Linked DNA regions of Caenorhabditis elegans. The protein of the gene in region 2 interacts with the protein of the main gene of each other region in a biochemical or structural test. Each region holds a gene or a part of one and is shown on either strand. Other genes may lie near its edges. The genes, in order: ubc-1 and rfp-1.

Region 1 (3,926 bases), on a different chromosome or scaffold from region 2:
TCGATTTTCAGCTAAATTTCCACATTTAGGGTAAAATTTTACGATTTTGAACCACAAAAAGCCAAATTTTGCATACATTAGATGAAAATTTAAGAATTTTCGTATTTCAACTTAAATGTTATCGATTTTCAGCCAAATTTCAATTTTTGGGGTGAAATTTCTCGATTTCGGGTCAAAAACTGCCAAATTTTCAATATTTGAGCTCTAATTTCGCCGATTTTCATCCAAAATTCAGGGTTGTGTACCTGCTCAACAATCTGCTGAACACGTTTCTCATATTCCCGTCGATTTTCTTGATAAAGCTGTGCGGCAAGTGAGTTGGCCGGTGAATTTGGATTGGGCTCGTCGAGCAACGACTGAATCGATGTCAGAATTGCGGCAACATCATACGTCGGAGACCATCGATTCTGTAGAATATCCAGACAAATTGATCCGTCCGCATACACATTTGGATGGAACATTTTGGAAATAAATTTGACGGTTGGCGGTTTATTTGGATATTCTTCAGTAAATTCCAGTGATAATTTGAATGTTCCATCTTCAAACGGGGTTTCTTGTGGTCCAAAAATTATTGCTTCCCATGTGAGAATATTATCTTCTGTTGGTGCACCTGATACTCCTGCTGGTGGATCTTCCTGAAAGATTTGGTCGTTTTTTTGGGGATTTAGAGCGATTTTTTTTGGAAATTAAAAGAAACCTTTCTTTTGGAAAATTTTCAGTTTTTTAGGAATTTTGAGCGATTTTTTTTGGAAATTTTGAGCAATCTTTTAATGATTTTGAGCCGTTTTTTGGTAATTTTAAGTGATTTTTTTTTTGGTAATTTCGACGATTTTTTGGTAATTTTCGACGATTTTTCGGAAATTTTGGGCAATTTTTTTGTGTTTTTCGGCCGTTTTTTGGAAACTTTCGATGATTTTTTGGTAATTTTGAGCGATATTTTTGAAATTTTAGGCGATTTTTCGGAGAATTTCGACGAATTTTTGGAAAATTCGGCAATTTTTTTGGAGGCGATTTTTTGATAATTTTGGCGATTTTTTGGGAACTTTCGATGATTTTTTGGAAATTTTGAGCGATTTTTCAGTAATTTCGACGATTTTTTTTGGTAATTTTTTTTTTTTTTTTGGTAATTTTGAGCAATCTTTTGGATATTTTCGACGATTTTTCGGAAATTTTGGGCATTTTTTTTGTGCTTTTCGACCGTTTTTTGGAAACTTTCGATGATTTTTTGGTAATTTTAAGCGATATTTTTGAAATTTTAGGCGATTTTTCGGAGAATTTCGACGAATTTTTGGAAAATTCGGCAATTTTTTTGGAAAATTCTCGGCGATTTTTTTTTGGAAATTTTCGGCGATTTTTTGGACATTTTCGGCCGTTTTTATGGATATTTTCGGCGATTTTTTGGCAATTTTAATTTTAAAAATTTCACGAGAAATTTATCAAAAATCCCAAAAATATCTAATTTTTTCTGGAAAAAACCAATTTTTGTTGCAAATGTTCTCTAATGTTCAAAGAAAGCCAAATTTTCGGGCCAAAAATTTCAAAACTCACCTGAAGTTTCTTAAAATCTCTCATCAAACGTCTACGGCTGGGCGTCGTCATATTGATAACCTAACTCCTGCAAAAAATGTGAAAATTAGGTTAAAAATTCGAAAAAATGCAGAAAAATGCTAGAACAAGTATGAAAAAAGGTACGGCAACCTTTAAAAAATCAAAAAATTAAAGAAAATATTTTTTAACATTTATTGACAATAATGCAAAAGTTGAGCAATTTGTGTGAGTTGTTGAACTTCTGCCGACGATTCCAGCCAAGCTTCCTGCAAAAATCGAAAAATTAGGTAGAAAATTGGAATTTCCCAAAAAAATTCGTATTTTAGTGCAAATTTGGAATATAATTTCCGTAAAAATTGGAAACTTTCGAAAATGTTTCGTAAAAAATTCAGTTTATGTTAAATGAAAATGCTGGAAAATTGCCAAAAATGTCAAATTTTTCTTTGAAAATTTGAATTTTTTGGAATTTTTCATTGAAATTCGATTTTCTAACTGAAAATTAGAAAATTTTGGTTCAAATCGAACTTTTTTAGTGAAAAAAAAAATTTTAATGAATTTTTAATGAAATTTGATTTTTTTAGTGGAAATTTCTAAATTTTAATTTAAAAATTTCTAAAAAAAAATCAATTTTCCAAAAATTTAAAATTTTACAAAAAAACGTGAAATTCTCAGTAAAATTCAAATTTTCGGTGAATTTTTGATTTTTATCTTTTTTTTTTTTTTGGAATTTCAATTTTCTCACTGAAAATGTCAATTTTTTGGTAAATTTGAAAAATTTGAAGTTTTCGGTGAAAATTTTGAGTTTAAACTGGAATTTTAGGTTTTCCGGAAAATTCGAAATGATTAACTGAAAACTTTCAAAAAATCAAAATTTTGAGTAAAAAAGTCCAATTTTTCTGGAAAAATGCAAATTTTATAATATTTTTCAGAAAAATTCAAATTTAAAGCCGAAATTTTCCAATTTTTCAGTACAAAATATTCAACTTAGGCTCAATTTTTTTCACGATTTTAAGGTAAAAATTCTGATTTACTTAATTATCAGCTATAAAAAAATCAATTTCGACTAAAAAAATCCGTACTTTTTTACAAATTTGATCAATTCGATGTATTCTTTGTAGTAATTCCATTAATCTTTCCGAATTAATTTTCTTTTTTCTTTCCATATTTTCAACCATTTCTCGCATTTCTGGACTAATATCATCGTCGAACATCACATCTCCGGAAACTCTGAAAAATTTTGAAATTGATAGATTTCTTAGAGAGAAGTTTTTGGGAATTTTTATGGATTTTATAGAAAATTTGAGATTTTTGAAAAATCCCTAAAAATTAATTTAAATATTTCAGAAAAAAAAACTATTTTCTTAATTTTTTGGAAAACTCATTACTTCTTAAATAATTTACAGATTTTGTTTTAATTTTTGATATTTTTCTGAAACTTTTTGGCATTAAAAATTTCTTTAAAGTGATTTTTTTTTCAGATTTTTGTGTAAATTCATTTTTCAAAAATTTTAGACATTTTTTCCGGATTTTTTTCTTTTTAATTAATTTTTCTGAACTTTTCCGAAGTTTTTTTTTCGGAATTTTAATTTTCAGAATTTTAACCTCAAAAAATCCACATTTTTCCTGAAAATTCAAATTTTCAAAAAAAAAAAAAAACTAACAATTCAACTTCTTCACCAACACGTTGACCATCTGGAAGCTTCTGCCTATCCGGTTGCTCAATCTGCAAATTTTTACAGTTTTTTGATGGAAAAGCTTCGAAAATTGGCTTTTCTGAGCAGAATTTGGATAATTTTTTCGATTTTTGATGTAAAATTGAAATTTCGCGGTTTTTTTTATGGAAAAACACAAATTTTCTCAATTTGAAGACATTTTTTCATGGAAAATCTTGAAAATTGCAGAATTTGGGTCAATTTTTCAGTGTTTTTTCTACTTATCCTTCGAAATTTCGCAAATTTTCCAGATTTCCTCCACTCACAAACGTCGGATGCGGAGCATTTCTGTAGGAATACGATATTACTGCCAAATCTCGATTATGAAGTTGCTCAGCGACTTCTGGCGGGCATAGTGGCAAAATTTTGAGCAAATAAATTTTCCGCACAAATCCAAACGACTGGCTGTACTTTTGGCCATTGTAACGGCGGCAGATTATCTGGAAAATATTGATTTTTGGAATTTTCAGTTGAAAATTCGGATTCAGTATAGTTTAAATAGTTTACGAGTTAATTTTCAGCTCAAAATCTCGAATATTCGTGAAATTTGGTGTGTGGTCTGCAATCACTCGGTGTTTGCGTACTCTTGGAGCTACAGTAACCCGAGAAATTTGAAAATCAAGCTAGCGACTTCTAGTTTCCGTCAAAAACTTCGAAATTGAAGGG
Region 2 (3,926 bases):
CGTATTCTTGACGAATTTTATTAACATCTTCCGGTGGAGCATTACTAACGTCTTCAAGAGGAACAAGTAGACATTTATCCTGGGCTTCTTTCAGTGAAGTTAACTCAGACTTGAGAGTGTTGATATCTTTTTGAGATTGCTTATCCTTTTCGCGCAAACGAATTTTCTCTGATTTTAACGATCTATTCATAGATCGTAGAGTATTCAAAGTTGCTTTCATTTCATCCCACTCGCTTTGCTTCACCGTCTTATTATATTCTTCCTTAACAGTTTCGAATTCGCAGCGTAGAACTTCACTGTCATGAGATACTTTGTAGAAAGAATTGTGAATATCCGATTGACATTGAATTTCCTTCAGCGTCTTCTGATGTTCTTCAGACATTAGCATTGCACGAGCTTCCTTTGCACTGCGGAAAGCATCACGTTCTGTTGTGATATCTTCAAGATCTTTGCTGACTCGCTCGTATTCTTTAATTGCTAATGAGTAGTACTTTTTAAGATTCTTGTATTCCTCCGAGTTGACAATTGAATCCACAGAGAAGAAAGTTTGTGTCTGCAACTATTTCAGAGGTAATAGAAGAAATTCGGGTAAAAATTTCATATTTTTGTAATGGATAAAAATTAATATATAGTCAAAACGGTACCTCTAGTCTTAGCTTGCTATTTTCCTGTGTTAATGTTTGAACTTTTTTATTCATCTCCTCGAGATCTTGAAGGCGTCGTGATGCAATGGATTCCTGTTCATCTCGTTCAAGACGCAGATTTTCGATCTGAAATTATTTTTTAAAAATGCGTTATTCATTTCGATTGATAAAAAATTTTTAAATCTCACTTCTTTTGCAGCTGTTTCACTTGGTGGAATATCTGGAGCTGATATCTTCTTCTCAGTAGCATTTGTTGTACCCGACGAAGACGGTGTCGCCCCTCCGTTCCCTCCAGACTGTCCCTCCGAGACGAGGGTGGCTAGTTTGTACTCAAATTTGTTAGCAAGACGCATATGTTTGTCAGTTTCAAATCGGGCATCTTCCAATTGATGTTCTAATTCTTGAACTCTGTTCTCTTGTACAGAAAGCTTATCCGTTAGAATACGCTTTTTCCGTTCCAAATTGTAACAATCGCTTTGAACTTTGGTAACTTCGGATTGAAGCTTTTCATTTTGTATAGCTAAACTTGCTGCTTTGGCTGTAAGCTCCTTATGGACACCATTTGGATTGAAGGTAGGAGAATCGATCAATGTTTTTAGTTTATCGATGAAAATGGTGGATTCGTGAGCCCGATCGTGGCGCGCTTTAGCATACGATACGAATGCATTCCGTCTATAGAAATATGTAAATTAAGAGTGAATTTTAATAATTTAAAACTCACAAATTCTGCTTTGCCTGATCAAAGAACTTGTTATATGTTTCATTAGTCATTCCAAGAACGTCTATACCAGTTGGTGCAGTGTCTCCTCCGATGTATTCTCCAAACTCATTCTTAGTTTGTGTACATATGTATTTCTCAATCTGAAAAAGAAAATAACTAATTGCAATCTGAAAATAAGTAAAAACGTACATCTGAGAACATATTATAAACCTTCAGAAAGTTGCTTTCGTCTGTCTGCTGCCGCCTCTTGGACCGTTCATTTTCTTTTTCCAATTCGGCTATTCGCTTATTTTTGTACAACAATTGCTGCTTTAATTTAGATGTCTGATAAACTACGGCACGAGCTCTTATATCGTTCTGAAATCGTTAGGGATTATTAATAGTATCCTCGATTTTAAATGAAAGACATACCACGTTGCTAACAGCGGGCATTCGGACCGGTTCGAATTGAATTTTGCGTCGTTTTTGTTGTCCATCGTCACTCGGGCTACTTGCATAATTTTCTCCTCCTATACCTTCATTACTTCTTTTCATCATACCTGAAATCAATACGTTTCTAATATTGTATACAAAATGTTAAAGAGATGGTAGAAAGCAGGGAAAACAAGGAAAAGATTTTAAACATATTAACGGATACTTAATCAATGTTTTTGAACAGATTTGATGACAATTTTATTGTTTTTGGAGTGCAAAAAAGGTGATTACAAAAAGATTTCCAAAGAGACATTTCAAATGGCACTCTTTTCGTTGCGAGACCTGAGTGAGAGAGTGTGTGACTACGGTCAAGAGACGGAAATGGGGTAGATTTACGACCGAACAGCATTTACGAGACTTGCGGGACTTTCGAATTCTTAATTCGTTTTTTTCTCCTCAAATTTCGGTCTTTCGTCCAAATAACAATGGTAAAAAGGATTTTTGTGCAAGGATTGGATAGCTATACAACGGAATCGACAGTTAAAAAATATTTTGAACAATTTGGAACTTTATACGAGTGCATTCTACCTCCTCCTCCTAGATATTCGGTACAGAAACTCTTGTTCTGATAGAAAATGTCATTATTTTCATTTTATAGGTATTCGACAATGGACCAGACGAGGAGAAAATTTCAACACGATCATCGATTCGATATGAGCCTGTGGAAAATGATGATGTATTAGATGACGAGCTCGATGTCGAACGATACGATGTTGAAAAACACGGCGATTTTGAGAGTTACATGAGTACGTAAGTTCGAAAGCTTTTGAAAAAAGTAAAAATGCCGAGTTCCAGAAAAAATTGGAGAAGGTGAAGCATTTATCAAAGAGCCGAGAAAGACTAGCGCAGGCTACGCCTACATCACTTTCGTTGATTCGAACGGATATTCAAATTGCATGAAATCAGATATTCATGAAATCGATCGAGCCAAATGCACTGTTGAGCCAGCAAAAGATGAAAATGATAAGAAGTTGAAAGTAGAATCAAAACGACTTTTTGTTTCTTATTTTCCACTAGACAGATTAACTTCAAAAGAACTGAAAATGAATTTTGGAGCCTACGGAAAAATCACAGATGTAGAATTTGTCAGTGTAAGTTTTTAATTATTTGTATGTTTATTTCATGTTAATTTTTATTGTTGCAGGATTCAGAAGGGCCGCTTCACTTCTGCATTATAACTTTCGCAGACTCCAGATCTGTTGATGTTCTTCTAACCAAGTCAATATACATCAGGGTGAGAATATAGAATGCTTTCAAAAAAAGATGCGACTAATTCTTCAACAAACAATATCAGGCGTAGTCATCAGGACTTGATTGCAACCTCGTATTATAACGCGTTATGAAACATTTTTCAGGATGTTCTGATGTTCACCCGACGTGCTGTATTGAAGGAGTCCGTTAAAATAGCGGAACATAAGATAAAAGAGCAGGAACAACAAAACCTCGTGCAACTAGTAAGTTTTATAAAGTTTAAATAAATTATCTTGTAAAACGTGTTTTAAAATATTGCATTACATTTTCAGCCTCCAAATCACACTGCTTATCTAACGCCGTCACGTCCCGTAACTTCTGTACATGCCTCATCATCTGCTTCATCAAATCACTATGATCCATCTGCAGCAGCAGGATATGCACCACTATATCATCAACCACCAGAATCAGATCCATTGTCTCAATGTGGCTATGGACCGAGAAAATGGTAGCTGTGATGATCAAACAAAACTCATATATCTCAAATTACGGTTTCACTTAATTCGAAGTTTACGAACATTGATTTTAAAAAATAAAATTGATTTATCTTCGAAGTTTCATTCTCTCGTAACTTCCTTTATTCTCTACTAGTGAGCGCAGTGAGCGAATGTTCTGTGAGTGTTTGAAGAGGCCGTCCGTTGTCCCTCTGACCGAGAATAAAACATTATACAAAATGAAGAGAACACAGGGAACCACGGATGTATCTCTGTGTCTCTTCACGATGCCAATACATTCCTTGTATCCCTTCGAATTTCTTTCTCCAACTCTTTCTACCACCCAATACTAAAGTCTTCCCTCGTCTCTTTTCCCGCCAAACGAATGAATGTTGTGAGTGT

Evidence for each region.
Region 1: the proteins of rfp-1 (region 2) and ubc-1 form a complex in vitro, tested with the Caenorhabditis elegans proteins (one study listed by BioGRID).

The regions. Positions count from the first base shown.
Region 1 is NC_003282.8:4,100,709-4,104,634, reverse strand, and holds the start of ubc-1 (Ubiquitin-conjugating enzyme E2 1), read right to left. Parts: upstream 1,616-3,926; 5' UTR 1,600-1,615; coding exon 1,549-1,599; intron 636-1,548; coding exon 246-635; intron 1-245. Other genes in the region: C35B1.2 (SWIM-type domain-containing protein), read right to left, coding at 1,740-1,814, 2,628-2,775, 3,210-3,271, 3,527-3,700. UniProt on the Caenorhabditis elegans protein: Catalyzes the covalent attachment of ubiquitin to other proteins.
Region 2 is NC_003281.10:8,356,603-8,360,528, reverse strand, and holds the start of rfp-1 (E3 ubiquitin-protein ligase bre-1), read right to left. Parts: upstream 1,908-3,926; 5' UTR 1,903-1,907; coding exon 1,777-1,902; intron 1,723-1,776; coding exon 1,555-1,722; intron 1,506-1,554; coding exon 1,366-1,505; intron 1,317-1,365; coding exon 833-1,316; intron 771-832; coding exon 645-770; intron 554-644; coding exon 1-553. Other genes in the region: Putative RNA-binding protein R05D3.8, read left to right, coding at 2,265-2,387, 2,438-2,585, 2,635-2,930, 2,984-3,073, 3,195-3,293, 3,363-3,542. UniProt on the Caenorhabditis elegans protein: E3 ubiquitin-protein ligase that mediates monoubiquitination of 'Lys-117' of histone H2B. H2B 'Lys-117' ubiquitination gives a specific tag for epigenetic transcriptional activation and is also prerequisite for histone H3 'Lys-4' and 'Lys-79' methylation.